2 linked regions of the Styela clava genome follow. The protein of the gene in region 1 purifies or fractionates together with the protein of each later gene. This does not show direct contact. Links are inferred from orthologs where the notes say so. Each region holds a gene or a part of one and is shown on either strand. Other genes may lie near its edges. The genes, in order: protein HGV2-like and histone acetyltransferase type B catalytic subunit-like.

What was found.
Region 2: the proteins of protein HGV2-like (region 1) and histone acetyltransferase type B catalytic subunit-like purify together in Homo sapiens (affinity purification with mass spectrometry; 3 studies listed by BioGRID and IntAct, with this or other methods). This does not show direct contact. The link is inferred for Styela clava from reciprocal best matches to the Homo sapiens genes NASP and HAT1.

What each region holds. Positions count from the first base shown.
Region 1 is NC_135259.1:2,807,914-2,825,500, forward strand, and holds the start of protein HGV2-like, read left to right. Parts: upstream 1-10,742; 5' UTR 10,743-11,168; coding exon 11,169-11,230; intron 11,231-12,617; coding exon 12,618-12,731; intron 12,732-12,955; coding exon 12,956-13,074; intron 13,075-13,202; coding exon 13,203-13,265; intron 13,266-14,158; coding exon 14,159-14,287; intron 14,288-14,771; coding exon 14,772-14,822; intron 14,823-14,898; coding exon 14,899-14,942; intron 14,943-15,163; coding exon 15,164-15,294; intron 15,295-15,572; coding exon 15,573-15,702; intron 15,703-16,078; coding exon 16,079-16,214; intron 16,215-16,534; coding exon 16,535-16,653; intron 16,654-16,963; coding exon 16,964-17,098; intron 17,099-17,215; coding exon 17,216-17,305; intron 17,306-17,587. Other genes in the region: uncharacterized protein LOC144428011, read right to left, coding at 6,155-6,339, 6,780-6,875, 6,952-6,997. UniProt on the Homo sapiens protein: Component of the histone chaperone network. Binds and stabilizes histone H3-H4 not bound to chromatin to maintain a soluble reservoir and modulate degradation by chaperone-mediated autophagy.
Region 2 is NC_135263.1:14,089,940-14,106,561, forward strand, and holds histone acetyltransferase type B catalytic subunit-like, read left to right. Parts: upstream 1-8,396; coding exon 8,397-9,602; downstream 9,603-16,622. Other genes in the region: uncharacterized protein LOC120340976, read left to right, coding at 2,666-2,699, 4,440-4,570, 4,833-4,937; sarcalumenin-like, read right to left, coding at 12,639-12,920, 13,623-13,772, 14,303-14,498, 14,873-15,047, 15,121-15,318, 16,036-16,140. UniProt on the Homo sapiens protein: Histone acetyltransferase that plays a role in different biological processes including cell cycle progression, glucose metabolism, histone production or DNA damage repair. Coordinates histone production and acetylation via H4 promoter binding.

The sequences.
Region 1 (17,587 bases):
TTTTCTCGTTTTCTGTCAGAGGTACCTTCCAGTTTGAAAAATATATTCGTATTTCCTAGATAATCTGTTAATTGCAACCGAAAATGAAGGACAACACCCCCGTGCACTGAGACAACTTTTCTTACGCCCTAGAAAATACCAACTTGTCTTGAATGTTGATAAATGCGAGTTCGGCAAAAGAGAGCTAGATTGTTTTAATTTAGGGCATCGCTTGACACCGACTGGTATCTATCCACTATCTTCAAAGGTAAAAGCAATCAACAAGTTTTCTTTACGAAACCTCAAAACAGCTTAAAATCTTTTCTAGGTCTGGTATGCTACTGCCATCGTTTTGTAAAGTATTGCGCGGTTATTTTAAAACCACGACATGTTCTAGCTTCACAGAGCAAGAATATGCGACAATCATCCAAATGAATACCTGAAACACAGCTGCCATTCAAAAAGATTGAATCAGAACCAGCATTTGAAATAATGCTTGTACATCCAAATCATACTGCAAGGCTCTCTTTAGTCATCAACGCCAGTCAATTGGAAATGGAAGCCGTCCTTCAACAATGTGTTGGCGGCAAATGGTCACCTTGAAGCGAACTAACTTCTTTCTAACAAGAAAAAGACTTTCAATTATGTTGATGTTTAATCCATAACAAAGCAATGTTAACGACAAGCGAACAGAAAACAGAATGACAAGTTATCGTAAGAAAAGCACGTAAGTAATCATGCGTGACAAAAACATAAACAAAACAATTGTGACTCATAACGGCTATTAGTTAAGTGGTTCGCCACAACCTCTGCGATTTTTTTCCAAATCACTGATTGTGAGCTCTTTATCAGCTTACTCTGCAATAGGCCATTTTAGCACGCAGCTAAAAGGCTCAAAATTTCAATTTGTGACAGATAACGATGCTCTTGTTAAGCCATGAAAAGTCCTCCCATTATCTCGCATTCAATTCAATTCATCCCAACATCACCGTTGTTAGCATTTTTCAGCCCCCGCAGTCAATTTCCGGAATGAGCTTCATGCCGCTCAAAAACGATTAAGGACTGATTGAATACAAAAGGGAACCTGGATTAATAGATGTTCCCATTGTAGAAGTAAGCGGAACCTTAGTATTAATTTGATACATCAGCAGCTAATAAATTGAGGACATTTGTGAACTAATCCATCAATAAAATATTTAGTAATATCCATAGTTTAGCCCATCCTGGTGCCTAATCGGATTTTATCACGCTACGTGTGGCTCGGGTGGCTACAAACATCAAGCAATGTGTTCGTTAATGTGCTGAATGTCAGCGTTCGAAAGAGCAACATCATACACGTATATCCAGATGACAAATATCCAAGTTCCAATGCGATAAATTCAACTCTGTAAACGGTGATATATTAGGCACCCTTGGTTTTAAGCAAAGGCTACTACTACATTCTGATATGTGTAGAGCAGGGTGGTCCAAGTTTGTTGACCTAGCGGGCCACAATATTATTCTCGGATTGTTATATAAATTATATAATAGTGCCAATATTATAAACAGTGCAATACAAACATCGATCATTATTTGTCATTTAGCTAATACATTTAAAAACCACCCTTAAAACCCACTAAAACGTGCAAAGATCTTACCATATCCACATTTGGTGTAAGTTTTCAAGCTCTTCAGAAACAGAAATAACAAAAAAAGTGTCTTAAGGAGTAAATGTACTTTTTCATTATCACCGACAAAACTCACATACGTAGTAAACAAGCATTGTGGTACTTTCCCTCCCATATCCAGTCAAAAATCTGTTTGAATTGGTTAGCATTCTTTTTAAACTCATGTTTACAAAATAACTTACAGATAACTGCAGATCGATTGATTGGAGAATTTTACCAAATTTGAGATACAAGGTAATTACTAATTTTCTGACATATGGGCAGCATTTTCTGCAAATATATTTTAGGCTGTTTGTAAAAATCCATCCGACAGAAATTATACTATTCGGCCATTAATATTTAGTTATCAGGCAAAGCCAACCTAGGCTAATGGATTCTTCATCCGAATTTTAGTTTTCTATGAAGCCTATTTTGTTAGAATATATTCCCAACCAAAATATATATGCAAAGTTAATTAACGATTTAGACTAGCCAAGCAAGCACATTATTCAACTTTAACTCTGGTTATTTTCATGACAAAACAATACCAACCAAATGCGATTTTTTGTTTAGTTTCGCACAAATGCGACGCGGGCCTGGGTTTGGACCACCCTGGTGTAGACCGTTTCTCACGTTGGTTGTATCGTATTGAAATGAAGAATATAGTTCGTTTCCGGTCTCAGCGATACTTGCCCCGATATCAGTTGAAGATATTGCTCATCTGACTTTAATCAAATTCGGACGAAAAAAATCTGTGTAGGCAAGAAACTGTGGGTGCACCAAATACCTTGCTGAGATAGGAACACGGTAACGTTTTCACTGCATCACGGAAGCACACGTCACAAGTAGCCTATAGCCTCCATTAGCAGAATAGCAGACCTACTACAGATTTATTAGGGAGATGAGAATGGAAAGGAAGTCCTATATTATATAGTCTTCACATGATACCAGCTACATTTGTCTGTTTTTTAGATTTAATGAAAAGCAAGGATTTTGAACAAACCATGGTCGTTAATTATTATAGTAACTAGTCAAGAATCTCCTATCTTTTTTTTTCATTGACATTGATTTCATGGAAATAAATTTCAAGGAAAGCATATCGTCATATATTATATATGTATAACATATTAACGTAACATAACTTCACTCTTTTGAATATGACATTGCCCTGGTTAATTGCATACCTGTTTTCGCTTTCTCTTACACTTTGGATAAGATTAACAAAAATGCCAAATATTAGAAGAACACGTTGCAGTTTACAGCGATATATGAAACAAACGAGCACACATCAATATACAATTGATTAACATGTTATTCGTAGGTTCAAAATAACATTCCTTTTTGTTCACAGTAAATGGCGGATTCTCAGTGATAATATATTCATTAAATTGTGTCCAAAAATCTTGGTTGGACAATCAAAAAATAAATGAAATAGGTCTTCAATTGCAGTTTCACAAAATCCATAAAGATTTGAATTCACCAGGTTAAATCCATATAAAATATTTTTAGCACAATGGCTTTCAGAAAAAATTTAGTTTGAAAAGATCTCAATCTAGTTTCATTTGTTGAATATTAGTTATTTGAAAATATGCAGCCAATTAAAGTCATTAGGTAAATTTGGATTTTCTTCACAAAACCTTTGTTGTTTTTTACCGGATAAAAACTCATCAAAATCAAACATGTCTATATTCTGTAAACAATTAAAATCATTAAAATTCTCAATACAACCCATCCAACTTTTTGGTATGCAGACAATTAATTTACAATAGTCCCTATACTCATTTACATTGTACTCTATACCGTACTGTTCTATCAGTTAAAATTAAAAAAAAATACAGAATTTTTGTTCACCAAATGATGTAATTCCCAGACTCCGTTTTCTTTCCAATTTTTATAAAAAAAAAATGGCATTCTTGCATATTGTAATTTTTTGTTGTACCATAACGGTTCAATATAGAGATGTATATTGGCATTAGATGGTAATTCCACATATATGTACCAGGTACAAAGTGTACCCTTAATAGTTAAAAAATGAAGATTTTTTATGAAGCGAGAGTTATGTCACAAATTTCACATCAGCAAACTATGTAATTCTATATCTCTCTTTCGATTTATCAATGAGGTGATACAACCATTTCCGTTTTTCAGAAATGATGGTAGTTTTTAACGCCTACCATATCAGTTCCGTCTTTCATTTTGGGACCAATCAGTGTTTTACGTTTAACTATTTCCCGATTTGAGTTCCACAGGAGACGAAATATTAATAAATTCAGTGATTTTACAAATTTTTGGGTATAGTAGGCTAACTGGTAAAAATGTACATTGATGAGTAAAAAGAGATAGAATTAATGATTTGATTACACACACTTTTCCTAGGATTGTTAATATTCCCATACACCAAATTTGGATAATGTTTTGTATTTGCTGCAACTTAGACGGTAAGTCAAGTTCATATAGCCTAGTTGGTTTAAATTAGTCGTAGTTGTAATTTCCAACAATTTTAATTCATAATTCCAGTTGAAATTGTTGAGAATAATTTGTACAATTATATCATTCTTAAGTTCCAATATTCATTACTTGTTATTTTCCAGCATTTGTTTTGCACCCTGGTATATTGTCAAACACTTCAGCCGTTCGAAATAAAGTTTTCTATGCTTTTAGATCAACCATCAGTAAATACTACGGTATCATCTGCAGCTAGAGCTATTTCAATTACGTTTTCTGTTATTTTAAATCCAGTGATATCTTCGTTGTTACGAACCATATTTGCTAAATGCCTATTACTATCAGGAATGAATACGATTCGATTAGGTCGCCTTGTTTAAGTCCTCTTTGTAAAATTATTGACACAGAGAAGAAAATGTTGTTTGTTTTGGTTATAAAGAATTTTTATCCACGAAATGAAGTTGTCTTGAAATCCGAATGTTTTTAGGTTCTGGAACAGGGAACACCATTCGAAACTATCAAATGCTCTATGAATATCTAATCCAAATATTGTGTCAGGTAGTTATTTCATTGTATGTTGTATGGTGAATTATATCACAGAGTAGTCGTATGTTTTCTCCCATTTGTCTGTTTTGAATAAATCGATAAATAAATTTTAATATTTGTGAATTATATTGTTCAATTACAATTTGAATTTGTGTCGCGAGAACTTAGCATTTGTGTATTCTTATGCTGGTACTCGACAAAATATTTCTGGCCCGTGAAATTTTTGATGATAGGCAATGGTTCAGCTGCCATGTGTTAAGTGATGACGATGAGCCACACCACCACCGCGCCGGTAATTAAGAAATTTATGGGTTCTGTTTTTTGAGGTAACCCAGTGAATGCGCTTTTACTATTATTTCATGACTCATCTTGTCATCCAATTGGCACACTTTCTTATATATATATCGACCTGTAGTTGAAAGTAAAAGATGACTGGAAATTGCGATGAGATTGGAAAAATGAAAATTACTTTTATATTATGCCCTTTTTGTTTGAATGCTGTAAAACATTTAGATATTTACTCAAGGTGATCGAACTATGAGTATCCAGTATCTATAAACTACGTAAAACAAAAAAAGACAACTGAAAACGTTGAGTTATTTCAATATTTATGATTTTGTAGCCTATAAACGGCCTAACGGGCGTATATTGAAATATGATGTTGCTGTATCTTTGGATGAAAAATCGTTATCCCTATCAATTCGATGCCTCATCTATTCAGTCGACTTAATAAGGTTGACACTATAGGCTCTGCCGTTGGTATCTGCACCATTATGTGGTGTTATATTAAAGACAGTCGGGGATGGGGTGATACAAAAATAACAGAGATGTAACGTCAAAAACAATCGGATTCGCGTCGTACGATTTCAATTCGACCAAAAAAAATTCATGATTTTAATGAGCATATTCTGCATGGTCATAAATCATTTATATAATACTCGCCTAACCTAAAAAACCTGCCAACATTCACCCATTTATCACACTTGTTAAAAGGGAGACTGAGTGATGTTGCACAATGTATGTGTTAGCAGATCTCTATCCGGTATACCATATTCAAATTCCCAGAAAACTCCACCCAAAATTCTTAGCGAGACTGAAAACGAATATTTTCCTGTTGACCTATAGAGATTAATGTAAACAACATGCTGGTCAACAAATTTATCCCATTCCTCGCTATTATTCCGATGAGACAGATCAGTAATTAAAGTTAATTAGAGGCATTAGATAATTATCGTTTATTTTATCGAATTGCTACGTATAAATCAAATAATACATTTAATTAATTATAGTATCGTTGACGTGTGATGTTTTGTTGGCAGATAGCAATGCAGTCTTTTAGTAAGACTAGACTAATCTTATATCACTAGAATCGAAATATTTTCAGGAATCACGTCAAGTCGACTGTTCAAGTGGAAAAAGCATGTTTATATCAACGGACTGCAAAATGATACATGATCCTTCCGTTTATAAAATTAGTATCCGCATATGCATAATATATACTTCTGTCAAGTATCCAAAACTGAAATGTCCATATTGGATCAAGTAGATTCACTGATCACTATTGCTCCTGGCTGACCTTGCATTGGCGGATATTGATTGATACATTCATTCTTCAACGTCATGGTAGGAGAAATGAAACCATTGTCAACCAAAACTTCAGAAATTTTTTGAAGTTGAAATACGTTGATCCGAGGTGTTTTGGCTTTCACGAATGCATTCCAATCTGACGCAAGAGTATATAAAATCATGTTTAATCAGCAAATTATATCCAATATTGATATCGTTTCAATCATATATATCTTCGAAACGAAAACTTAAAACCGATGTAGATAAAATATTAAATGAAGCCTAACAATATAACCATGATCATCCTCCTATAAATGCCCTTTACAGCTTAAAAAGCGGATTCTAGAGAAGATTTTTTCAAAAGAATTAAATCAAAAGAAGGTGAAATGATGGAGGACGACAAAATTGTGGGGCGAAATGTCGGGTCTCATAAGGTATGAAAGGTTTTAAAATATACGTGGAAGAACAAACGTTTTCATGCGGTATCTCATGAAACGCAGCTTTATTATAAAACGTGTAGACTACAACGGAAGAGGCCATTCAAATGGGTATCCACACTCATATCCATCGCTACTCCTAATACAAATCGTTACATACCTCGCCCATAGAAGAATACAGCAATGAAATAGCTTTCGTAGTCGGTAAGGAATGTTATATCTGCATCCAAATGTCGGCGTACAAGTGGGTCGATATCTGTTATTTAATAAAGTAAAAGCAGCATGGTTTTAACAAATTATGAATTTAATAGGTTGTTCTGTGTCATGTCTACCTTCTGTTTCCGCATATATCTTTTTTGTAGCGAATCTATGGAACATATCTGTATATGTCTTCCCTGCAAATAAAAAAAGGGTCGATTGTCGAAGTATAATTAGAAACTCAATATTTTTTGAAACAAAGATAAAATTTTTCACTCTTCCAATGATGGTGCTCTACATACTTACGGTCAGATTCTGTAGTATGATATTTTCCAGATGGTTCACGAGCATATTGAACATTGTAAAGTCTACTTTGTCTGAAAATTTATAAATTCATTTGTCGGAGAAGATGAGAAAATCAAGCACATAAATATAAAAAAGAAATACAGGTACTAAATATAATGATGAATAAAAACACTTTACCCTTCTGCATAAGTTTCAACCGTGGCAGTAACAAGATTTTCAAAACAGGTGAAATTGACAAACTTGCAACATCCTATTGGTATCTCCGCCTGTGGAACATCGATAATGTCATACAATGGCAGCATTTGCTGAATCTGAAGCAAACATATATGAATATTTGATAAAAATATTTACCTTTGAATACAAATTCAGATACAGTATATCACGACTCAAAAATTTTCCAATAACACTGGACATCTTTAATAGTTGTAGTTGTGAATGGTCCATTTAATCTCAGGGTTTTCATTTTACGCGCGAAATTCTATTTGTGTGGTGTGTTACGTGTGTATGATTGAATCTTCGGTATACCAAGGCGCTTTGAACAAAAGTTATGTTCTTCGCAGGATATGTTCCGAATAACCTCTCCGGCGTTGGTGACTAAGGATCTAAGTATGATTACTTTAAAGTATTCGATTCTTACCCGAATTCTAAATTTTCGATTCCGATTCTCGATTCCGAATTTCGATTCCTCAACATATATATTTCCGAGAAAACATACACATCTAAGCTATACCATATGAAATCAAACAAGAGAGCGATGTTCGAATATATGGACGGACAAGAAGGCCAAAACTAAGTATAGTATGGGTATTCAATCTGTCACAGGAGACTAAATCGCGAAATATATATACCGTATATATATAGTGAAATTTGCGACGTCGTAGCAACTCAACATAGCAGTTTATACATACCGGTATATGTGAAGAAATTTCCACAAAACGTTACGCATTGTTTGCAATCCAAGTTTTAACCTCGAGAATCGATTCCAATGCATAAAATTGATTCTAGTCGATTCCGCAAAGAATTGATTCTGTAATCGAATCCGGATTCGATTCCGCCACCCCTATTGATGACAGACAGCGTACCCTGGGGGAGAGGGTGTTGGGGGTCGGACCCTCGCCACTTTTTAAAATTATAATAGAGAATTTTCTGTATTATCCACGGTAAATTTTCGTAGCTTGAAATGATTTTATATTCTCAATATTCTCGAAAACCAACGTTTTACAACCTCCAACCGGACTCGCTAGATGTTACGGTCTGATTTGAATCCTAGAATCACCCCTAGAATTTTTTGAGGGGGCGTGAAGCTAATTAACAAAAAAAATTTTCGTTAGATTTGATCTTGCCCGCCCTATTTTGAATATTTACATTTCTTAATTTATCAGCCAAAAACAATTATTCACGTTCCGTCCGCGCATTGTCAACGTATTTTTAGAATTAAACATACTTCCGGATTAACTATCTGTTATTTGTATCTTATTGTGAGCTGGTTATTTTTGAGGTGGGGCAAGAGACTTGCTAAATTATAGAAATGCGTCGCGGCTTAAAAAGTTTGAGATCCACTGGATTAGATAATTCGTTTGTATTTATGCCTCAAAAATTCAACATTCAAGTTTTTTTGATTAAGGTAAAATTATTTTAGAGGCTTGAATTTATGAAAATAACGCCGCGGGATGATCACTTTTCGACGCACAGCGCACACTGTTTCTTTTGTGGTCTTTCGTGATTCACAAGCTTTTGTTTCATCAATTTTCAAATTCTAGTCGTTAAGGTGTCTCAGAATGTTTTAACACAAAGTTGGCAGCCCTACTCCCACCCTACACACATGGCTAAGATATCGATTTTCTGGTTCGTACCACGCACGAAGAAAGTCTTACTGAGAACGATGAACTCAAAAAAACGTGCAGCTCGGGTAGCCATTTCCAAACATTGCAAACTGGTCCGTGTTAGTGTGAAGACGAAAATCAAGAACTGAATACGCAACATATATGGCGGTTATGGTCATCATATGGACTGGCCTACCGCCGTCCACACACGGTAGCACTTTTGTGCAAAATGTCCAACTTTACTAAAACTTGTTTACACTCAATTTTCTCCATTTTTATATAGGTAATTAAGAAATTTATGGGTTGGCATATAAGAATATATATGTACTAACAGGCATACGTACGTACCTTAACCCAGTCTATTTCTTGCGTAGATAGTGCTGAAGAAGCTTGTGTAATTATATTTACCGAATATAATAAACACATTATTGCAAGAAGTCCTAATACCGCCATAGCCTTCGTAGGGAAGAAATGTAGGCTACTATATAACAGTGAATTAATGCTAATAAGTAAAGTAATGAAATCAAAGGCAGCGTAAATCTGAATAATAATAACAACAAACATTTACTATACAATTATGCCCGAAATTGAGTATAATAAATCCAACCTTCATTAAAATTTTAAAATTGGTCAGATAGGTAGATTTATATATATATATATATAGTTCGATAGTTAAAACTTATTTCCGGTATCATAGAAAATGTGAAAAGTACTTATTTTAAGAGATAGCGCTTGCTTACTAAGCATTCGATTTTGAAGCATATTTCCTTGTAATCATACTTCAGTAAAACTGCCGAGAGTTGCTTGACTTCACGAGTTGTAAGATTCCAAATCTGCTTGCATGCTTAGCGCGGTTTCAGAGTATATATCATAATATTGTTTATGTTATGTAAATCTATCGCATTATATGCAGGTTTTCTTAAGCAACGCGTAAGAAAACGCTCTGCCCGAGAAGACGAATTGTAACAGAACATTTTATCAAAATCAATACAGTAATGCTGCTGCTGTTCTATTGTTGTTTCTAAAACAAAGTATAAATCAGTATCACAATAACATTTTATAGTTAGGCATCTTTCGGTATGTTGAAACGAAAGCTAGAAAGCCATATAAATTGAACCGGATAAGTACTTTTCAAACTTAAAAACAATATTTTTTTAGAATAAACTATTCTATTACTGTGCTATAGAATATAATTTTTCGTAACATATTATGATACTAAACTGTTTTGAATACTACGGTATATTGAAATAAAAGTAAAAAGAATTTTTTAACTCCGACTACAAGTAACATCAATTTTTCATTAGCAGCTAAAACACCAAACTCGAATGACGCAATTGAGCCCAACATTTACAAGTATTCAAAATCCTTTTGCATTAGCATTGCGCACAAATATTTGCGGATAGCAATTTGGGGAAATCTGTGGTAAACTACTGCTTTTTGCCAATGGCGAGGGTATAAAATATGACATTGCAAACAGTGTCGACAGTTAATATTAGTCGTATTTATTTTCTGTCCCATCTTTTTCCAGTCTATCGTAACAAGGGCCATATTAGGACGATGCGAGGCTCGCCTTATGGCCTGGGTTACTCAGGAGCACACTGAAATGTACCACTAGATGTGATTATATCTGTTCGAAAGAATCAATTTACAGTCACATAGACGAAAAATCTAAAGTAGAGCTAAGATCACTTCCATGGGAAATCGTACACTGTTCTTCAAGCGGAACGGCGGAACGCAACCTACGCACAACATGCTACGTTTCGCGCCGATTTTACGCACAACAACAAAACATTGCTGAGTGAAGAAATCATTGGACAAGCGTTTCGTTGATCACTCGAAACTTTGGTCATTTTGTTGGAAACGTGGCGCTGTAGGGTTGATTTTTTGTTGACACATGGTTTATTTTCGAGGACTTGTTTGGTCCTATTTCTCTTGCGGCATCGTCTGGTTGCAGGTATAACCCCACGGTCAGGAATTGCGGAACTCGAGGTTTTGATATTCTGATATTGGCCAACTGACAGATTGATCAAATTCAAAGGGCTGACTTGCTGAAGAGACACCTCCTTATTCTGCATATCCACCGCCAAAATCGGTGAAATTTTAAAAAATAAAGCTCAGAAGTGGACTACTAAGTCCAATATTAGAGTATTCTTCAATATTAATTTTAAACTACAGAACTATCTTATTCACGGGACAGCCTGAGATCACAAAATCAAGACACCATGGTTCAAGACCCAAAATCAGATGATGCTCCATCAACTGGACAGGGACAAGAGATAGAGGCGTGAGTTGGCTTGTAGACTAGGCCTTTTTCATTCAGTATTTTTTTCTGATCATCTTAATTCTGAAATAAATAAATTTCTGATCTTCGAATACCGTCTGACCGTACTCAAATCTGCAATTAATAAATTACGGTAACCAAATAAAGCTTGACTTGGTAAATTAAAAAAATGGCTCAATTCGGCAGTTGCAGAATTAGTCTATGTTACCAAATGCAAAAAATGTGAATATTTTTAGATTTCAGTATTTGGATGTGATAGACTATTCAAATATTAACTTTTAACTTGGCGCGGCGGTGTGGCTCAACGGGCTAAGCGTTAGGAATACTCTCGCCACCGCACCTCTAATTACTCTGCGTGGGTTCGCAGGTTCGAATCCCATGCAGGGATGGTTATGTGCGAGAGGATTGCTGGACTCCTCGCCGTCGTTCAGTCGTTGGGTGGTTCACGTAACCGCTGGTCGGTTACGGCTTCCTCCACCACCAAGTCCATGCTTCCGAAAACAAACAATACAGTAAAACTAATCCCATACCCGACTTGGAATGGTAACCGGACGAGAGGCCGTGGTTCGCCATATGGATAAGCCGTCTTATCGGCTTTCCTCTCCCCCCGGGATAAATATGTAAATCCTATCCTATCCTAATATTTAATTTTTCTCATATATGGTACTGTCTGATTGTAGGTTATATAACAGTAAAATCCTTCTCCCTATCTCCTTGTTTCTGTAAATGAAGAAATTAAAATATCGTTGCTAACTTACAGAGTTAGTCAGAAGACTGGAATAGCAGTTGCTAAAAGTGTCATGTCGGAATAATAGTTTTTTTTCATGTTTCTATATTTGTAAAAAGTTATCTGTACTTCGCTTGATTCAGTAATATGAGAAATCTAGCTATAATATAATCTCATCTAGAACTTTTAATTTCTGCCTGCAGACATATTTAAATATCATAAAAAGCATTCCTTCACAAGCCACATGTTCAATCACTGTAACTATAGTTTTGTTGATTGATATTTCTTTCAAACAAATTCATTCCTTCAGGATGAGGTAATTGCAACCCAGAATTCAAGTGTATGACCTTTAGTGTTGTGTATGTATTTCTTGGCGATACAATTGTTTCAAAAATTCATATTAATTTTCGACAGTTCGAAAAGTTATATCTGTATTTCATACCACATATGCTATTACTAGTGGTTGAATTTATTAAGCCAGTGTTTAATTTGTTGAATGCTTGCAATATATTAGTACAGATCTGCAGACTAGAACATTGGTTGAGTCTTAGTTAGATAGCCTACATTCGATTTAAGTGCGCTATCGATACTTTGTATTTCTATCTATTGTCTTAAATTCTCCTATTTTACCACATTTTTATTAATTAAAATTTTCTATTTCAGACCTGTAGATGTTGATAAAGAAATCAAAGACAACATGGGGGCAGGCAAAAAGCATCTCTTATGTAGTGATTATCCTGAAGCTGTTGCTTGTTTTCAGGATGCATGTACCTTACTGTGAGTTAAATTAGGTATTTCCCCAGTTCCCCTATTCCTATTGGTATTTTTTCTGAAAATTTGTGCAATACAATTTCGCTTTGTTTGCCATTGCCATTGTGAAATTACTTACATATCATTCGATATTAGTTGGTGCTTTGTTCAGAGCGATAAGTGTAATATAAAAGAATAAATTGTAATGATCCGTCACATGTTTTTTTCCAGTTATAATTGTGTATTTACAGGTCAAACAAGCATGGGCAAATGGCTCAAGAATGCAGTGATGCATATTATTACTATGGAGTTTCTTTACTAGAATTGGCAAGATTGGAGAATGGTGTTCTTGGAAATGCGCTCAAAGGAGGTAAGCTCAAGGTTTTTCAAAGATTGTTCAATTCAATAGTAACCTAACTATCTGTACGAATAATAAAGCTAACAGAATTTAGTCTCTTTTACTTCTGTCTACTAAACTTATATTCATTTTTTCATTAGTGCCAGAGGACGAGGATGAATCTGACAAAGATGAAGAACAATTTGAAAAAGCAGATCTTCCAGGTATAAATCAGTGTTCCAGTGTTTTTTTCCATCCTCTAGCTTTTATAATTTGTATTGTTACTCCTCTGCCATAGCAACCTCCTAGGTACTGAAAAGAAAAAGTTTTGTTGCGTAATACTGATAACTAATAATGCTAAATATTGGAGGATTTGTTAAGTAACAGATGACAATTACCATCACATACTCTCACTCTCGCATTGTCATATAAGAATCACATGTATGTACCTTACTATGCCATTCAACATTGACGTCCTTTTATCTATCCCTTACAGCTTGTGACCAATATGAAGCGACACAATGCGTGTTATTTTCAAATGTTATTTCCACATATTCCACCATTTTGCTTGAATCAGTTGGTGTTTTATATCCCAGACATTGCATTATATAACACAAATGCAGTGTAATATTTCCCATTCCTATCAATTACCTGCTGCCAGTTTATTTGTACTTTTTAATTTTTGGTACCAGTCCACAAGTGTAGAAATGTTGAGAGCTATTGGTATAATCCAGTTTTACTCTGGATTTTATCTTGGAAAAGATGTTTTCGCAGAGTAGTCATGAAAACTATTGTCTTGTTTCATGTTCAATATGAATTGTGCAGGATGAATCTGTTATCCATGCATATGTTTTAGGAAGTTGAATATCGTGAATTTGTACTTTGTTTCAACTAACAACTTAATCTGAACCAGAACTCCTGGCTCATTGAAAAGACTAGATTTCTCTTCTAGTTCTCGTTCAAAGGAATTTCCCCATAGGAGTTCTAGTGGAAAGTATCAGGTCTCTATAATTTACAATCCGAAATATTAGCACTGTCATGATCTCGAATGCCACTACGCCCACTAGTCAGTTAAAGTAAAGTGTGGATATTGGCTAACTTAAACATTGCTCTCAAGAGGGGGAGCGTGAAAAATTGAGAGAGGAAGTTGAGGCTGCCATGGCAACAGAGGATGAAGATGCAGCAGAGGAGGAAACTGAGGGGAAAGAGGGTGAAAAACAAGAAAAAGAATCATCTACTGAAAAAGGTCCTTGCACCCTTCCTAATGAGTGTTTTGTCACTTTTTTGTTGGACTTGCACATTATTCAGTGATATTTGTTTGAATTCTTTGTTCTATCACTTTTATTGTGAGCACTCCAACATAGCAATGTTTTGTAAATTTATAAACACCATATTTTAACCAGGTCCCCTTTTGTGTGTGGTAATAATCAAAATTGAATAGATAAAAAATATAATAAATCTGCCATCTTTTTTTTAATCGTATGTGATGGGTTTCAAGCTTTTATAGGTAATTCTTGCCCTTATAGATGATATATTTCAATGCTATTCATATATTGCTTCAATTGTTGTGACCAAGGAAGGGATGCGAGGACCTTGGAAGTCTATAATTATTTTTAACTCTGCCACTGTACAGAAATATTGGAAATTCCAGATTCTACCATCGAATTAGTTTTATGGAATCTATAGTATTGATTATTCATACACAAAATCGATACTCTTTCTTAATTCAGAAAAAGGCGATGAAGAAACAAAGCCTAAAGATGAAAGTAAAACAACAGAAGGTATTTAATTGTATATTATGCCATCAATTAGAGTTCACTTTTTCATTACTTCAAGTACTCTGTTTTGATATTTTAGAACCCAAACAAAAGGAAGAAAAAGGAGAGGAATGTGCAAAACCAGTAAGTATTCGATTCGGCTAATAGTCATTTAGTTATATTGAGATAAATAAGGGAGTCAGCTACATACCTTTCTCTGTTCCTCGCTTTTGTTATGCTCTAACAAGATTGTCATAATTATCCTGTGGTATTGGAAAATCTAGCTCAATTCCTTTGAGGTGCATGAACTAGTTATGACTCGGGGAAATTTTTAGTAGATGGTTAATTGATTCTATCTTTTCCAGGAAACCTCCGAACCTCCGTCGAGTAAATCTGAACCTGCCAAGGAGGATGAGGCTGAAGAAGATCCAGATGATATATCTAATATGCAACTAGCTTGGGAAATGTTGGAACTTGCAAAAGTTTTATATAAAAAGTAAGTTGAAGCTTTGTTATTTATAACATTTAAAGCAGAATGCTTTTGAACCATTCAAAACAACTGATGTCTCCTGATTCCGGACTGACAAAAATTTCACTCTGCTATCATCTTCTCAAAAATCAAAAATTTCTAGTCTCAATTTCGGCATCGGAGAGTTTGGAAAATAAGACAAGCTTTTATTCTATCAACAGTAAAAACATAAAGCTCCACTGATTGTGGTTAACGATTTCAATAAATTACTGTCTAAAAATTTACATTATAATGTTGCAATGCAGAAGAGAAAAAAGTAAACCAAACAGTCTCATGATTGCTCAGTGTCATCTGAAACTTGGTGAATTAGGACTCGAAGTGGAGAATTATCCACAAGCCATTGGAGATTTTCTGGAATGTCTTGTCGCTCAAAAGGTATGATATATATATTTCGCGTTATCTTATTTCTAGTAATTGTAACAAAGTATTCACTTCACATATTAAGATTCATTATCATATATTGTCTTCATACAATACAGGAAATTATTTTTTTGCCCTTCAGAGAAATATATCATATTCAACATTGCATCATCTAGTTTTCACCATGATCAGAAGGCATATATTGGTATCCTAACATGTCGGATACATTACCATTTGAAGCCTAGTGAAAAAAATTTGTGTGTTGTAGCATTTGATAACGTCTTTGATAATGACATAGTGTGTATCCCAATTAACGTAACACTGAATTTGTAGGTATACGTCTAATAACTGTGTCAATTATCTTGTTTCAGTTTTATGATTTTGTTTTCAGGAACACTTGCCAGAGACAGATCGTAAGCTGGCAGAGACTCATTATAATTTGGGTCTTGCATACAGCTTTGAGAAACGATATGACAATGCTCTCGAACATTATCAAAATGCTTTGAACGTATTGGAATCTAGAGTTGGTAGGTATTTGCGGTTTCTAGTTTATTGAGAAATGCTGGTATTATTTGCATAATTAAAATTTCTCTCTCCAAATGTCTTTATTCATGAATGCTCTTTGCTCTTCAATCACTTGATCAGTAAATTGATTCCTTCTAGTGCATCTCTTACTTGTTCCAAGTGATTTCATTGCATTTCTCACTAATTTTCGAAATCTAGTGGTAATAATTAATATTTAGTCTCTATCAACTGAATTTTCGGAGTGCATTAAGATTTGTATCGAACTGTTTTCAAAATGAATATAATTTCTTTTGGCACACCCCACTTTGTATTTATATTTCAGAACTTCTTGAAGAATTGATTGAAAATCAGGAAGGTGAGAAGGAAAAGGAATCGGAGACAATTGCTGAATGCAAAGAAATTGGTGAAATAAAGGAATTGATTCCTGATATTAATTCGAAGGTAGGAATTTAGAAAGTAAACTGGTAGGTGGTTCTTTGTATATTGGAAAGCTGTTTATATGGATTTTGTAGTAAGTAAGCGTATGATCTTGTTGATAATAGTCTGGCACCAGTCCTTAAGATGTATTAGCATATGTGGATGTGGAAGTTATAACAGCATGTATCATTGTAGTTTCTCATGCTTCATTTCAAGGGAATGTGTGGTTTTTAGATTATATATTGCAAATTCTTTGATATGGATAGTGATCCATTATCATTTTTTATAATAGCATTAATTCTAGTTTCTAGTACTGGTACACATCCATTTTCAGATCGAAGATGTCTTACTCGTAAAAAAACAAAATGAAGGTAGATTGGAAGGATCTCCTTTTCGTCAATCTGCTGGTGAAACAAGTACTGGTTTTGATGCCGGCACTTCAGGATCACAGGATAAACCCTGCTCATCTGTAAGTATTGGGTAGCAAATTTTATAAATATTCAATTAGTGCATAAATGTTGAATCTAAAACAATGGCGTGAGGTTTTAGAAGCAGGTGGATTTAGCGATACTTATACTTATTTCAGATTCCTGTTCGTAAAGTTGCTCCAATGTCCTCTGCTGCTTTTACAAGCAAAGATTCATCAAGTGACATCTCACATCTTGTTCGTCGAAAGGTATATATATATTGAACACATATTTAAATCTAAATTAAAAAATTTCCCTCGGAAACTTTTTTGCATGTGTGTGTGGAAAACATGTTTTTTTTAATAAGTGTTAATACGTAAGAATTAAGACGGTATGAATTCTTTCATATTTTTTTTTTTTGAAATAGAACAGAATTCTGAGATTTGGGAAACTTTTGACAGACGCCTCCATTCTATTTATTACAAGGAAATTTTCTCAAAACAAGGTCACGCATACTTGCTCCCAATTATAATGAAATGTTCACTGAGCGG
Region 2 (16,622 bases), on another chromosome or scaffold:
ACCAGTACCAGCTTAATGTGCTTAAACGTATCTTTTTCTCCGGTGTGTTTTTCTCGGAACATTTAATTCTGAGTAGGATCCGTTTATTCGTAATTAATATTATTAAAATTAGTTATATTCCGCGTGGGAATCGGTTGAAAACTGCAGAATATTTTTCTGCTGAAATTCTGCTGGATTCACAGTGGTCTTTTTTCAGTGGGATGTAGCATGAGTCCGTTTTTTTTCGAATTTCCGGGAGTCGGTTATCACAATAGTATTTCGACTTTGAGATTTTGTTTTGTCCAATGACATATAACAATTGTCATATGCCATTGAATTTGTCAGAGCATTTCGGGCCTCTTGACCGGTTACCAGTCCGTGTCGGGTATGGTTAGCCAGTTTTCGAAAGCATGGACTTGATGGTGGAGAAGGTCGTAACCGACCAGCGGTGGCGTGAACCACCCTACGGCGAAAAGGAGTCCAGGAATCCTCTCGCACATAACTATCCCCGCATGGGATTCGAACCTGCAAACCCACGCAGGGTAATGATGAGCGTATTTCTAACGTTTAGCACGAGGCCCCACCGCCGAGCCAATATGGTAAATAACATTGAAGTGTATACACCTCAAGGGTAATAACACATGTTTGTTCGCGTTACTAATATCCAGGGGAGGTCGCTACGCTACCCGCGAGGGGAAATGTATAGAAATATTTTTAGTAAATTAAGAAGCAGATGTTTGTTTGAAATTTGTTGGAGGACTCGGAGCGTTGCGCCGGAGTCGAATTTTTCCAATTTTAAGGTTCGTGATCACTCAACCGTGACGAAATTTTATTAATATCAACTAGACCTCAACTACCTTGTATGACCCAAATATGGCATCTATGCCTTTCACCATTCTCGAGATATAACGTAAAATCACTGGAGCATGACTGAGTAGCGGGGGAAAAAAAATTCTTTTAAAATGGATTCAAATAATTTTTCTAAAAATGCCCATGCCTTTTCTTTCCTAATAAGTCCCTTCAGAGGCCTGCAATAAGCCAAAATCACTAAAAAGTGACTGGGGGATAGGAGAAAAAAAATTTCTTCAAAAACATGTTAAACTAATTTTTCCAACCATACCTATCTATTTTATTTCTCAATAGCTCCATTTTTGGGTGCGCAACATTTTACGCCACTGGATGGCGATTGGGAGGGGAAGCACCGATTTTTCGGTAAAAAAAAAATTTAAATTAGTTATACTCTTTGAGAATTAGGCAAGTCTTTGCCGAAAACCCCATTCATATGTCTCACAATCTCCTAAAAACAATAGAACCTAAGTGGGCGTGGCTTTGCACGAGTTTTCTCACCACAGAGGGCGTGGGAGCAATGCCCCCACCCCCAATTATACTTGGAATAATTCCCAATGCTCGGGCAAACGCTTTCCGATTCCGGAAACAAAGCTAAATGGCCTCTAAACCCCCAAATCACTCTAGCATTACTGACTGACAGCTTGATTGACCAATAAGCAGCTCCGGGCCACTAAAATCCCATTTTAACCCACTTCCATTGGCCCGATCGTATCCAAAAATTTTCTGTGTTTGTTTGGTAACTACCTCCCGCTTCATGCCAAATTTCGTCCCGATTGGTCCGCCAGTTTTCTGGGAAATGGTAATTCTAACGCTATCTCTTAACAGACTTCGTCAAATTATTTTTGCCCTACGCGCAAAGTCTTTTGACCATTACTGTGCTTTCGCACTAAAGTGCTACAAGTTTGCCTGACCAATAATCATAATATTTATCTACAACCTACACTTTGGTTTGTTTCCGAGCAACGTCCGAGCAAAGTAGGGCGGCCCCAGCGTAAAATTCTTTGTCGTTGCATGAATTCCGTGTATAAATTTATATTCCTGTTTAGTTCATCGTGTATTCATTGCATAGATGGTGGCTATGTATTGCATTTAGTTTTCCAGCTTCGTTGAAAATCCCAGTTCTATAAATAGCACCGATTTGAAGAAGTATGAATCATTGCTATGAAAACATGTAAAACACGTAGTGACAGGTTCTTATCATGAAAATACTTCCATTCAAAGGACTTTGTATTAGCATAGCTTGTATTTTTACTGATTCATTCTATCCTTGGCCTTTTAATGTGAACATTCTACCCTACCATACTTGGTCATACATAGTGGGTTGAGTGGTCAAATTCTAAACAATAATGAAGCAATCGATCGTCAAAGCGTGTCGTTGTAACGATGCGCGTTGGCTTGTTTACGACTTGTCGCGCCTATTTTCATCGATATAATTGCATTTCTTCAATATTGTAGCTTTGATGCCCTAATAATTAGGTCGTGACGTCATTAAATCTCCAAGTGCAGTGGTGAAATTTAAAAACTAAATCATGAATTTTTTGGTAACTATTTTAGCTATAATCATGGTTGCGGTAAAACCATCAGTGGAGTTTCAAAGCATATTGGTTGACGATTTGAAAAGAAAAAGAAAAGTGCCAATATAAAATAACAAAATTTGAGTTCGGTAGCATTGGGTTAATAACATGTCATATTAACGAATAATTACAATTTGACTCATTAAAAATTAAATCCGCGTGGGAATGAAATAAATATATCCGGGGCAAGGTGATTTCTTTAGGTCGAAGTTTGGTTCTCATCGGATTTATTTTGAACGTGAGAAGTCTCTCAGCATTCCACGATGATTAGGTCAACTGTTCTCAGGCTTGCACGAGGTTAGTTAACTGATATTATTGTTATACACTTTGCTCTATGTCACATTGATACCATATTATTGTGTTTGTTATGGAGTTTTCAAAATAAACTATCTATCTAATATATTGGAAGTAGTACCGGTACCGGTACGGTAGGTACCGTAAATTGATATTTTCGGTCTAGGATTTCACAATTCCTAATTCCAGTAGTCTGTGCACCGGGTAATGCTAGAATAATTGGGTCTCATGAACTTGTAGTGGGTGTGGCATAATGATAACCCCCACCTGAGTACGTCATCAAAAATTACGTCACTGCACCATCGTAGCGGTTGCTAAAGTCAGAAAGGGTATAGCTACAATCGTCCGAAATGGCCTCTGTACCGACTAGAATATAATGAACTTACTAATGCCAGCAATCTCTTTCTTGTCAGTACGGTTACGACGAGAAAACAAGAGGAATAGCTTGCTCGATTTCAGATGTTTGTCTGTGGATATTAGACCGTATACTTTGGAAGGCCTTATTATTTTGGCAACACACTGTTTATGGCAGTATTACAATTTTGAGAAGTCATTTTGACTGCCAACGCCGCAATGTGTAGATATGTCACCAATATCTGAATTTTGCAACAATAACATCAAAACAAAGATATAGACGAACTATCAGTAGAGGTTACGTGAGACCAACTCCCAATCCTTCCCCAATGCATTGGTGCTCGTGGATTTGTATGCGTATAACAGCAAGGATGTTGTATCGAAAATAAACATGACCATACTTGAATAGCATAATAAAATACAGATAGTCGTATGTATATAGTATTTCTGAGTTTGGACAAAATACCCAACAAAATTATGGAATGAACTGAATGGAATTTCTTTAACTCCATTTTCTCATTGAACTTTGCATATCGAAATATAAGAAAAATACTGTAATATTATGTTTTGTATTAACTGTAAAAGTCTAGGTGTGATTTAAAATGTCAATTTTTTTGTTGATGGCTTGCAAATACATTTCATAGTTTTGCAATAGTTTGTTAATAAAAGCTTTGCTTACATCCCAAATATTCCATGGCTAAATATACTGTACTTTTATTACAGTTTCCTTCGGACAATTATTCTAAATTTTTTGTAAAATAGTGGCTTGATGAGTTTTCTTAACAACTTTGTGTTTTGAATCAACTGATGTCCACTGACAACTTGTGCTAATAAACATTTAGTTCAGAGTTGATAGAATCTAATGTGTACTGTCAGTTCCTACCTTCTCGCACTGAAGCGCTCTTTCCTAGGAGTTGGAAACTAGGACATTTAATTAACCACACCACTGTGTGCTATGCAAAATTAACCGGTTAACCTTCGTAATTATAAATTTCAATTGTTTGACATTATTTTAGAAAGTGTGGATAAGCTTACAGTCATTTAAACAAATATCCATTTGTTGGATGACATCCAATTGGTAATCCTTAATTACTGTCATAGTTGAATCATTGCTCATGGTCAATATTATATAACGAAACACTAGCTTGTGAACTTATTAATGCTGCATTTCCACCACCAGCAGTCAAAAGTTAGAAATATTTTTTTACTGGTAAACTAGTGTTATGATTCAGAAAAAAGGACATTGATAATTTCATGAATGGGTGGTCGGTAGGGCAATATTACCAGGGGTAGATCACATTCAATAACCTTTGTAAGATTGACTGACCCAATCTGCTCGTCACCACCTTAGAAAAATATTGTGCATTCATTATGATAATTTTACTTCAGCACCACTGCTGCAGAAAAGAATGTCTTCAGGCTTCAATAAATATCCAGTTTTGAAAAACAAACTTTTCGGAATAAGCGGAAATGCCATGCTTGCTTCTGGTTTCTCATTTTTTCTAGTAGCAGTACTGGTGGTAAGATATTTAAATTTTTTGCACCTGAAAATTTGACTACTATAAACTATATACTGTACTATATAATTATGAAACCAATCAATTTGAACTTTCCATTTCAAATTCTTATCAGTTAATGCAAGTTTCCAATTTAAATATGGCTTAAATCGAAACATATTCACCTTAAAGTGTGTTTAATAGTAAATATTTCAATTTGACATATATTTTCAATAGAATCAGGATACAACAAAATAATGAATTTTTTTTTTGTATCTATTGACAGGTTCAGAAAAGTGGATACCTCATTCCACACACCATTGGGCCAGGATTAAGTCCCGTGGGGAGAATTGAAATTGATCTCACTCCCGATGAGCTGAAAAACCGATAAAATCGTATAAATTTGCTCTGTTCCAATTTTAGTTTTGTTCAATTGAATATTATATGTCCTGAATTCTATTTGTGATAATTTGTCATACTGCAGCGCACTAAGCTTTATGAGGAATACCATGATTTTGTTTTTAAACCAGTTAGCATTTGTAGTTGTGAGGTGGCCAGGATATTTATGTTATATGTAATGTAGGTTGTAATACTATTTACACAGAGTTAGTTGGTAAAAACTGGAAATAGCCAACTACCCATTATTATATTTTGTAACGAAGACAAATGTAGTTGACAAACTGGCGAAGCCAATTCCAACCAACAATAGAAGGCAGGATAGGATAGGATTTACATATTTATCCCGGGGGGAAGAGGAAAGCCGATAAGACGGCTTAATCATATGGCGAACCACGGCCTCTCGTCCGGTTACAGTCCGGGTCGGGTATGGGATTAATTAGCCAGTTATTTGTTTTCGGAAGCATGGACTTTAAGGTGGAGGAAGCTGTAACCGGCCAGTGGTTACGTGAACCACCCTACGGCGGCGAGGAGTCCAGCAATTCTCTCGCACATGATCATCCTGCATGGGATTCCACGAACCTGCGAACCCACGAAGGGTAATCAGAGATGCGCTGGCGAGCGTATTCCTAACGCTTAGCACGATGCGCCACATCGCCGAGCCTTGTCAATACGCTTAGCACGATGCGCCACACCGCCGAGCCTAGTCTATGGGATTCTCATTCGTATAAAAATTGTTAAATTTAGGTCTACTAAATAAGACTACGGTACATGTACAAAGAAACATGCAAAACGACAAAATTTATCGACTTCGTCAACTTTAAAAATCCAGAACTATTATAGGTAACTAACAAGAGAGTCATGATCAAATCTATGGAAACGAAGTTCATAACACGAAAGTCAAAACGAATTATTTAACCATCAATTCTTCGAAAATCATACGATATCCTGAACTGCAGAACAGCCACGGCATCTTACCAGTTTCTGTTATCGATGCGTGGACTGTGCTAGCTCTTCCAGGCGGGTCTATGACGATTCATGATTGAGTTGCAACGTGAATTGGAGTACGAATCGATCCGAGTCCCTACTGTAATATCATTTCCAGTACTGCCGTCTCCATAAAAACCACCGACTTTGACTTTTTGATTTTGGTTGACGTCACCCAATGACATTAATGTCATTGACGTCCCCACACAAAACTACAGTTAGAGAAAATGAATTGCACAAGACCCACAGGACGTTCCAGAGTTCCCCATTTTTAGTTTGTGTTTGTTATTATGGATTTTTATAAATAAACTATCTATCCAATAAATGGACCCAAGCATCGATTACCTTGTTTATTTCCGTAACAATAACCAATCAGCAAAAAGTCAACGACGACGTAACAATTTTTAGCATCCGCCCAGACGTTACTTTGCTAACACAGATATTCAAGCATGGTTATAAAAATTGCCTCGGTTTCGCGTGTTATTTGTCAGTTTTCAATTGTGTTTTCGAAATTCATTAGTGAATGAAGTGTTTTATTTGTCATTATGTCTTCCGATGAGCTATAGTTTAGTTGCAATAATCAAAGATTAGCCTCGGCAAAGCTGCGATAGACTGGACTGAAGTTATCGTTTTAAGTTATCGTTTTTTATTTATCATGTTATTCTTACTGTATAACTTTTTTATGGTTGTGTGTGTGGGTGCGTGTTTAGGTGGGTGAACACGTACCGCTTCTTCTTGGCAAAACCTTCCATCTTATATACATTCTGTACGTTTTAAACCTTATCTAAGGTTTTGTTTGCTCTCCTGATTTCATGATCAGTTTTTTTTTTACCAATCATTTTATTGTTATGCTGATTATGAGGTCGATATAAACTTATATTAAGCACTTAAATCAGTGTGCAAGTGTCAACTCTCCAAAAAATTTTCAAAATGAACATCCAAAATTTTGCAATAGCAAGAATAGGGAATATTTTTGGGAGAAAAGTGGTCGGGGAAACCTGGGAAACATACCATCTATCTAAGATTCTATAGCCTGATTGTGAAGTAGTCTACCTTGACAACCGATGTGCTACTTATCGCATAGAGACTTTAAACTTATGTTAGAAAGTTTCATGTACCTACTATACAACAATTACATTCAATTTTGCCTGATAACATATGTATTAGTGTTGCAATTTTATATAAAAATATTTGGGAGTGGAACATTTTGCGTCGCTAGCCCGATGCAATATAGGACTATTAGGAAGTCATTATTTTTGCATGTTGAATTTTACGTATCTGACAAAGTTTGGTCCAAGTATAAAGTTTGTTGTAGCTCAAAAATGGATCATTTCTGAAACTCGAAAATTATTTGTACGGTTTCTCAAATTTAATCGTGTTTGCTATAGCGAAAATCATACCTGTCACTCAGGATTGGATTCGCGCCACAGACTCAGAGACTCATCGAGTTGACCATTCTTTCATTATTTAGAGGCGGATTGGCACACACTTTTTCTATTCTAGATTCTAAAACTGATGTAGGCCAATAAACCAGGAATAAATTCAGTATGTCAGTGGGTGGTATTTGTAGACTTCTTGACAATTGGAGCGATACGGTAACTCATAAATGCTGGTTCGTCAGCAGGTCCACTTACCTGCTTTTAGTAAAAGTTTCACTATCAGATTAGCGGTACCGTACGGTACCGGTACCGGTAACAGTATAACGTTACACCATGCAGCCATGATTGTACGAAGATCAAAGATGCTCATTTTTTAATCAGATTATTTCACATAGGTCTACAGAGTCATTGAGAGTGGAAGTGGTGAGTCGGTGACTCCTCTTCGGCCCATGGGCCGGGGCCACGGCCCATCAAATTGGGCCTCGGCCCATCAGGCTATGGGCCGCGGCCCATCAAGTTGTGTAAAGAAACTATTCACTTGGCTAACACAAACAGTCCCCAAACTCATAATAGAACTATAATGTAAAAAATCTGAACAAATTTTTGCCCTAACCCTAACCTGGTACACATACTACAGGAGTTTATTTTTTGGTTCGAATATTGACAATTTTGTAAAAATTGAAAATTTTGGTAAGATAATTGAATTTTTCCTGACGGGGCCGCGGCCCATAGCTTGATGGGCCACGGCCCATGTGGCCCAATTTGATGGGCCGTGGCCCCGGCCCATGGGTCGTAGAGGAGTCACCACCCCTGTAGGTCATTGAAGTCTGAAAGTGGTGAGCATTGTAAGAAAATGGGAAAACAAGATGTTTTTGGTAAAAACACACTTCCGGGAAACAGGGAAATTAAATACCTCCAGGTCAATATTTAAGGAAAAATGATGCACATGGTACCATAGTGAATAATATCCAGGCATCTATAATTCTTATATTCTTGCTATATTGTAACTCATATTACTTTTATATTTATTTTTTTTTGAACATAGAGTTATAATCTGTTGCATATTTCTGTACTTGACTAATATAAATATGGCTGCCGGAGGCCTTGATGCATTAAAGAATAATATTGATAAATATATATGTTCTGCAAATGATGCCGTCTGTTTCAAAATGATTCAAGATACGAGTGACTTCGAGAACGAAAAGAAAACATTTCATCCTGACATGTCGCACCAAATCTTTGGTGAAAAGGAACAGATTTTTGGTTACGCAGATCTAAGAATAGATTTATTTTATTCAGCAACTCAATTATTTGGATATCTTGGTATGAAGTATTCGGAAAAAATCGACCCAGAAAAATTTGGCGTTGAAGTGGATAATATTAACAAAAAAATGGAAGAAGTTCTTCCTCCTGGATGTTGCCAAAGTTTAGATGAATATTCATCTCATCTGCAAAAAGATTCAGATTTCCATCCACATGGTGAAATGGTATATCAGTATAACAGAACATACAAAGATGGAACAGAGAAAGTTTTTGAGATGTTTCATCCTAGTATTGAAGATCCAGGTTTTCGAGAATATCATGGCAGAATGCAGACATTTCTTTATTGGTTTGTTGATGCCGCAAGTTACATAGACATAGATGATGAAAAATGGGAATATTACACCATTTTTGAAAAACGATCCAGGAACTGTGGGGAATTTACTTATTTATTTGTAGGATATTGCACAGTTTACAACTTTTATGCTTATCCTGAACATATCAGACCTAGAATCAGTCAATTTCTTATATTACCACCATATCAACGTCAGGGCCATGCGACCGAAATCTTGGATGCTATTCAAAAATTATTCTTGACGAGAGAGAACATTAGAGATATATGTGTTGAAGATCCATCAGAGAATTTTCAACGAATACGAGATTTTATTGATTGCCGAAATTGCATAGACTTTGACTGCTTTCAACCTGAAAAACTGCCGAACGGATTTTCAAAATGCATGTTTGAAGAATGTAATAAAAAGTTGAAGCTTAATGCAAGACAAACTAGAAGAATATATGAAATTTTGAGGCTGAAAAACACTGATATTTTGAATGAAAATTCATTACAACCATACAGGCTTGAAGTCAAGAGACGACTCAATCAACCATTCACGGCAAAACAGTATGGTAAAAAGTTGGACAGTAGCATCATGCCATCTAATGACGAACGATTTAACATTCTGGAGAGCGAGTTTTCACGATTGCTGGAAGAATATTTACCAGTAGTTGAGAGGTTGAATAAAAATGCTATGTGATGAATATTTGTTCAACTCCCAGTTACAAAACTTTCTATTGATATTGTTGAAATTATTTTTGTAAATTTCCATTGTACGATATAAGGTTCCAAATTTATTATGTCAGAAATCTCACAACTGCCTAACTTAATATTTAATGTATGAAATTCCTAGAGATGGTATAATTGTTATTGGGTATAGCAGTTTACAGTGTTTGTTCCTAGATTGTTACTATTCATGTTTCAAACACACTTTCTGGTCTTATTCCTGCTTATTGTTCCTGTATAAAAATATTATTATGTGTCTTCCACTGACTTCTTTATTCAATGTGAAATAGCATCAGTCAGAACCCAAAATTATTTTTCTAATGCAAAGTTGGCCCCAATATGCAATAGCAATGAATCAAGGTTGGGGATTTAAAATCAAAAAGGTTGTTGGCTTACTAGGCAGGTAGGTCTGTTGGCATTCGGGTCTGTTTGTTGTTGGCAACAAAAGTTCGACTCTCGAGGCAGGTATGTATTCAATCACTGTGAATTGGCCATCAGGGTGCAGCTAGGACTGTTTAACAGTGAAATTAAAATAGGGCACCGAGAGTGCCATTTATGACGACGCAAGGCGTTTAAAGAACTAAAAATAGCGTCGCCCGAGCGAAATTCCTGAGTTACGTGTAGCTCGCCTCCCTTTGTCAGGCGTCGTTTGCTTGATTGTTTGAACATCTACTAATCGTCGACCTTTATTTCATAGTCAGCGTTAGCATGTCGCGTTCTTCGCTCTTCATTGTTCATAAGTTAGCTAGCTATTTGCCGGAGAAAAACTAATGTAACTGCACTCTCCCGAATGTTAAAACGCCAGTACTTCTCCATGACCCAAGCCTTGCGCGAACGTGTTAAATGTGCACGAAATACAACGGAAACAAAATGAATATAGAAAATAAACGAATGATATATGCCAGTGCTTCTCAAACAAATTTCTTGTGTGTAGAGAAATATCAATCGGATTCGTAAGAAAGTATTTCTTGAGTAACCGCATTTAGAAATAAACGATAAAAATCGTGAAAATTACTTTTAAAGAGAAGTACAATTACACTCGCGGATGTCAGTGGCGTTATAATCATTCATATGCACAAAAACAATCTCGCATGTTGCATCGATCAAATGTCCTGAAATGTGAAACTATTACTTGTAATTTAATGTTAATCAAGTAGAGTCGATAAAGTGTTTTATTGACATTTATTAGGATATTCATATTCGCCGTGATTAGTGGTGGGCAAAATCTTTTTTTTTTAATTCGAATATTTGAGTATTGTCAATATACCTTATGTAATTTACTAGAAAACTCGGTAATTTTGTTATAATCGCTGATTTTTTTTTTGTCACCGCGATCGTTTTGGCGGCCGACATCCCAAATAATACTAAAAACTATATTGAAGCACTTTTTTTAATCAAGTATTATTTCTCACGCAAGGGCGGACATCGAAGTTTGGTTTTTATATTTTATTTCATGCAAAAATATGATTTTACATTGGCAAAGATATCAAAAAAGCTAGTGAGGAGTGAAATCACAACACAAATTAATTTTATTTTGATTTTTAGCGTAAGATTCAATCCTCCATATATATTACACTTTGTAAATTACGGTCCCAATTTTAACAATATTATCATCACTGACCCCGGGAAGTGGATAATTATGAAGCTGACAGTTGACTTTTTTGCGCTTTTAATATTATATCTTGTCCGTGTTATTTTCGTGTTAAATAATAATTAAAAACTCCGCAGATTGGTCATCGAGTATTCAACTCAACTCAGCTTTGAATTAAAATACTGATACTAAAATAAATCGAGAATAATGTCATTTATTTCTAAAAGGTAAAATCAATATTTTCCCCAAAGTATCGGAAAAATTTCGATAAATACAATATTTACCTGCCTTATTTTATATCTGGTTTGAAGTTTTCAAATTCACAAAATGATGTTGACGCGCTTTATGCAAAATTAGGAATTGAAATGACAGGCGCAAAAAGAAAACAATCGTTTCTGTAAGTGGGTGACAGTCGTAGGTAAATTCTCACTCTTTAACTCTTACTTGTAAATTAATGGTAATGAAGTCTAGTTTGTTTTTCAATGACGGCCGTGACTTGGATTGTGTCGAGATTTTGAAAAGAAAGACCCTAAATTATCATATACCACTTTTCTCCGTTGAACGCCCAAAACGGCGTTTAGTTTGGTTCATTTATCCGTCTAGATTCTAATCTAGAGAGAAAGGAAAATACACCGTACTGGATTGCATTCAACAATTGCACCTCTTTATCGCGGATTCGACAATCGCCATTGAGGGTTTCCAAACGTCGAAGAATGAATATCCTTCTGTGATGTACTTTTAAGATAAATTCTTTCGATGTTGCTGCAGTTGGCAATTCTTCATTAAAAGACCATGCATGCCATTTGAATAATTTTATTTTTCACTTGATTCTGAATATTGTACCATCGCTTGTCAATAAAATCAACATGAACTATGCCTATGGTAAATATATGAAGTATTACGGTGATAAGCGTCCATATCAGCGCCAACTAAAAATATAACATATCCTAATAGCAATATCGCACAGAATATTCTTTTGACCACGAAAACGTGATGCGCTGGCCCTAAAATGACGCCGCAGCTTTTGAGCAGAAAATATAAATTTGCCCTCAAAAAATTTTACAGCCCGCATCCCCACTGGCTGCGCCTCTTCCGCATCATCTACTTATTCAAGGGGGCAAAGGATTAAAGCAAGCAACATTCATAATTCCAAATTCTTGGTTGAACTATCTACATTGTCGCTCACTGACAATACAAAATTGCCGACTTTTGAAGATTTATTAGCAGTACCGGTAACAGTGGAAAAAACAAAGCAGCACTGGCATAAAACTGCACTGTGAACTTAAAATATGAAAAAAATTGCCTGAAGTAAAAAAATATATACCAATAAGTCACCACTCAATGCATAAATTTATCGTTGCAATTTGAACACTGTTAGAGTTTAAATTTTGGCAAGTGCATCGTAGTTAAAAAAAAATACTACAGCTCGTATCTGGAATATCCAGAGTTTTGTTGACTGGTTATTCTAGCAAGTAATTCCGGCAAAGTTTTGAAAATAGAATTTTCAAGTTTATCAATTTCACATCCATTAAAATATCTACAATACTGCTGCAAAGGTTTGAAATCTGTTAAAGGATTCAAAGAAAAAAATTCAGAATAAAGGGAAGGTGAAGGCATGTCAAACTGACTGACACTGTGTCTTGACCAGACATTTTGAAAAATATTGTGATGTTCTGGATGTGATACCAAGTCTTCTATTATCTGCAATACAAAAAAAAGACTATGCAGAAATATTACTTGAGGAGAATATTCAACACGATGAAGATTTCTCAATAAACTAGTGATGTCATAATATTCAAATTACGGCTCAGTAAAATGTTTATAACATATATTTTACTGTGCAAAAAATTGCAAAATTTACTTGCTTTTTACATCAATAACACAGCATATGCCAACCATATGTTGGAGATCATTGTGACACATATGGCTCGGCGGTGTGGCACATCGTGGTAAGCATCAGAAGTGTGCTCGCCACCGCACCTCTCATTACCCTGCGAGGGTTCAAATCCTGTGGATAATTATGTGAGAGAGGATTGCTGGACTCCTCATCGCTGTAGAGTGAGTGACTGTCAAATTAATCCCATACCCAACATGGACTGGTAATCGGACGAGAAACCGTGGTTCGCCATACGACTAAGCTGTCTTTGCGGCTTACCTCTCCCCAAGATAAATATGTAAATCCTATATTACAAGTTTATTTTAATTATTTATAGCATTTGGTACGATTCTGGATTCGAAGCTTGTGCCCAGAATTAGTTGCAGATGATATTTTTGAACTTCCAACCAAATATATCACTCAGTACAACTTTACAGCTCATTTTCATAGATTTCTTCCTTGTACTTTTAAGATAAGAAGGCCAGGAAATTTTAACAAAAAAAATAAAACATTAACAGTATACTCACTGCATCAGGGTCTTTGAAAAAACTATTCCTCTTAATGTAAGCTGTCAAATATTCATCAACCAATAATGAATGAATTCTTACTCTCTGAGCATGTTGTCTCACAAAAGCAACTTTGTTTTCAAGTCGATTTTCAATTACATCATTCAAATCCTGTAAAATAAGTCATAAAATACATATTTGGGATTTTAAAGAACAGAGTTCTATTTCTGCCGAGAACAGTTCCTCGAATATGACTTCTATATGAATGATGCAATTGTGTGTTAGTGTTAACACAACCAACTTCTACGACTACAAACCATGTCTAGAGGATATAGAATATGAAGCAGGTACTTATTTCATTGTCTAAAATCAGATTAAAAAATGATAGGCTGTAGCTTGCCATATTGGTCCAGCTTAAATGATTGACATTTTTATAGCATAAGAGATTTTTTTGTTTTATGCTGTCTTTTTCTTAAACAACTCTTGATTTTTGTAACATAATTTGGCATATTTAGGACTCTTTGTAAATCCTCATACATACAGATCATAGCTTATATGAATAACAAGACAAAATAATCAAGGTATGTCCGGCAGAACCCCGGTAATATCATCAAACTGAGACCAGAACGAAAGTCATAGATAATTAAAATTGGTTAGCAGAGAGCGGTATCACTATATCGATTAAGAGATCCTTAACTGACCTGCAGTAGAGACATTTCTTCTTGTTTGAAAAGTGCAGTGTTTGTACTAGGTTTGTATTTATAAGGCCAGAAAGAACCTGTATATATTCTAGGAGGCTCTGTTACATTAATCAAAGGTGCCAGACTCCAGAATAAAGCACCATATACCCTCATCAGTTCTTGAGACGAAAGACTGTCTGCTTTATTTAGAATCAACCTAAAAATGAATAATTTGAAATGATTCGTAAAAGGGACACAACATCTGATATACAGCTGAAAAATGAAATTCGATTAAAGATTTATTTATGAACTGAATAAAGAATTATGGGACTTCCAGAAGTATGCGCACCACCTGAAATAGGATTCAGGTTGTGTGACATCTTCGTGCGCATACTTCTGGAGCACCAAAGTATGTCATAATCATATGCAGGGTTTGCACCGGATAGTTTGGGATTCGGTATTCTATATTGCCCATCCCTACTGCAAACCCATGCAGAGCAATCGGAGACGGGTGGCGAGCGTGTTCCTAACGCTTCGCGCAATGAGCCACACCACATCGTGGAATTTTCTATACAAGTTAAACTCACTCGCCTTATTTGTGATTCCTTTCCTTTAAGTTGTTTGAATAATGTTTCAAGTTCTAAACCAACATCCAACTTAGTGGGATCAAACACAATGAATATCAAATCAGCTTTATCAATAAACCATTGAATGACCTTGTTGAATGGATATCCTCTCTCTTGTTGTTTTCTATTCTCAATAATACCTTTAAAAACAAGATGTAGAAATTTTTTTTTTTTACAAATGTGTTATCACTAATGATGTATTGTATTGCAAACCTGGTGTATCAACAAATGTTACTTTCTTCAAAAGAGGATGTGGCAATTCAACTCCTGAAAACCTTTCCATGAAATGTTGCCCAAATTTTTCTAAAGCTGAATACTCCATTTTCTCTGAAACTACAACAACACCCTCTGTATTTTTCTCTTTTTCCCCATGACTAACAATTGTGAATTCGGCAGTCGTCGGTTCTGCACCTAAGGAAAAATAAAATGATGTTGAATGACGTACTCCCGAAGTATGTGAAGCAAGATGGCGGACACGGGAACGTAATACGTGTACCAAGTTAGAGTTAGGCAATAATTTTGGTGCTCCTGAAGTATGTGCACCAAGGTGACGCACAACCTGAACATAGTAGGTGTACCAGGTTGTGCGCCATCTGGTGCACATACTTCTGGAGCACCATAATTTCAGGTACAAATACTATGGGAGTCACTTGGCTAGTCCCCGAACTCGTAATAGAACTAAAATAACGAAAATTGGAATGAAATTATGGCCTAATCCTAATCTGGTACACATACTACGTTCCGGTGTCCGCCATTTTGGTTCACATACTTCAGGAGCACCGTTAAATGAAGTGGCTGGCCCATGTATGTGCAATAGAATATTTTTTATAGTATATAAAGAATGTTGAGAAATAAAAATATAGGATAATCAATATAATATAAACTTTTCACTTTAGACTTAAATATTCTCGCTCATATTTCATAAAAATTGTTTAAATCAAGTGACTTGAATACAAACATGCAGGGGGCAATGTCGCAATATTGCACACTTTTTAAACAAACGAAAACACAAAAAAAAATTTAGCATTGAAAAAGTATGGAAAGTAACAAGATATTTTTCAAGGTTTCTAAGAATGAGCATTTAATATTATACGAGGAACTGATGAAACTATGTAGTATCAGACATACCTACTCTTAGAACATCATTATCAAGTAGATAATTAATCATAGTTGTTTTACCAGTGCTCCATGGTCCAAGAAACAAAACCATCGGTCTGGCCTTGATCTGACCAACTTGAAAAAGAAATAAAATCAAAGCTTTGTTTATTTTAAATTTGTAAATATATCTACGCATGTATATGTATCTATGCAAGTCAAAAAACTCATTTCTTGTTTGAGGCTTGCTTTTACTCAAATATCTATTGTAACTTTTAAATTTTTTCAGTATAAAAAGTTTATGAGTCCGAAAAGAAGTATCTTTCTGAGAAAGTTGAAATCTCGATACCCCTGTAGTGAGTGTACCAGGTTAGGGTGAGGCCTTAATTTTATTCAGATTTTCCTTATTTTAGTTTTATTACAAGTTAGTAGACTGTCTGTATTAGCCAAGTGAATATACCCCTTGCCCATAGGTTTCAGTCTCTTTACACAACTTGAAGTAAAATAGGCGAACAAAATTAGTTACCTCCATATAAGTACACATACTTCTGGAGCGCCAAAATCTCTATATATAAATATGTATATAGACAATAGTTAACACTTGGCGGGACACATAAAAC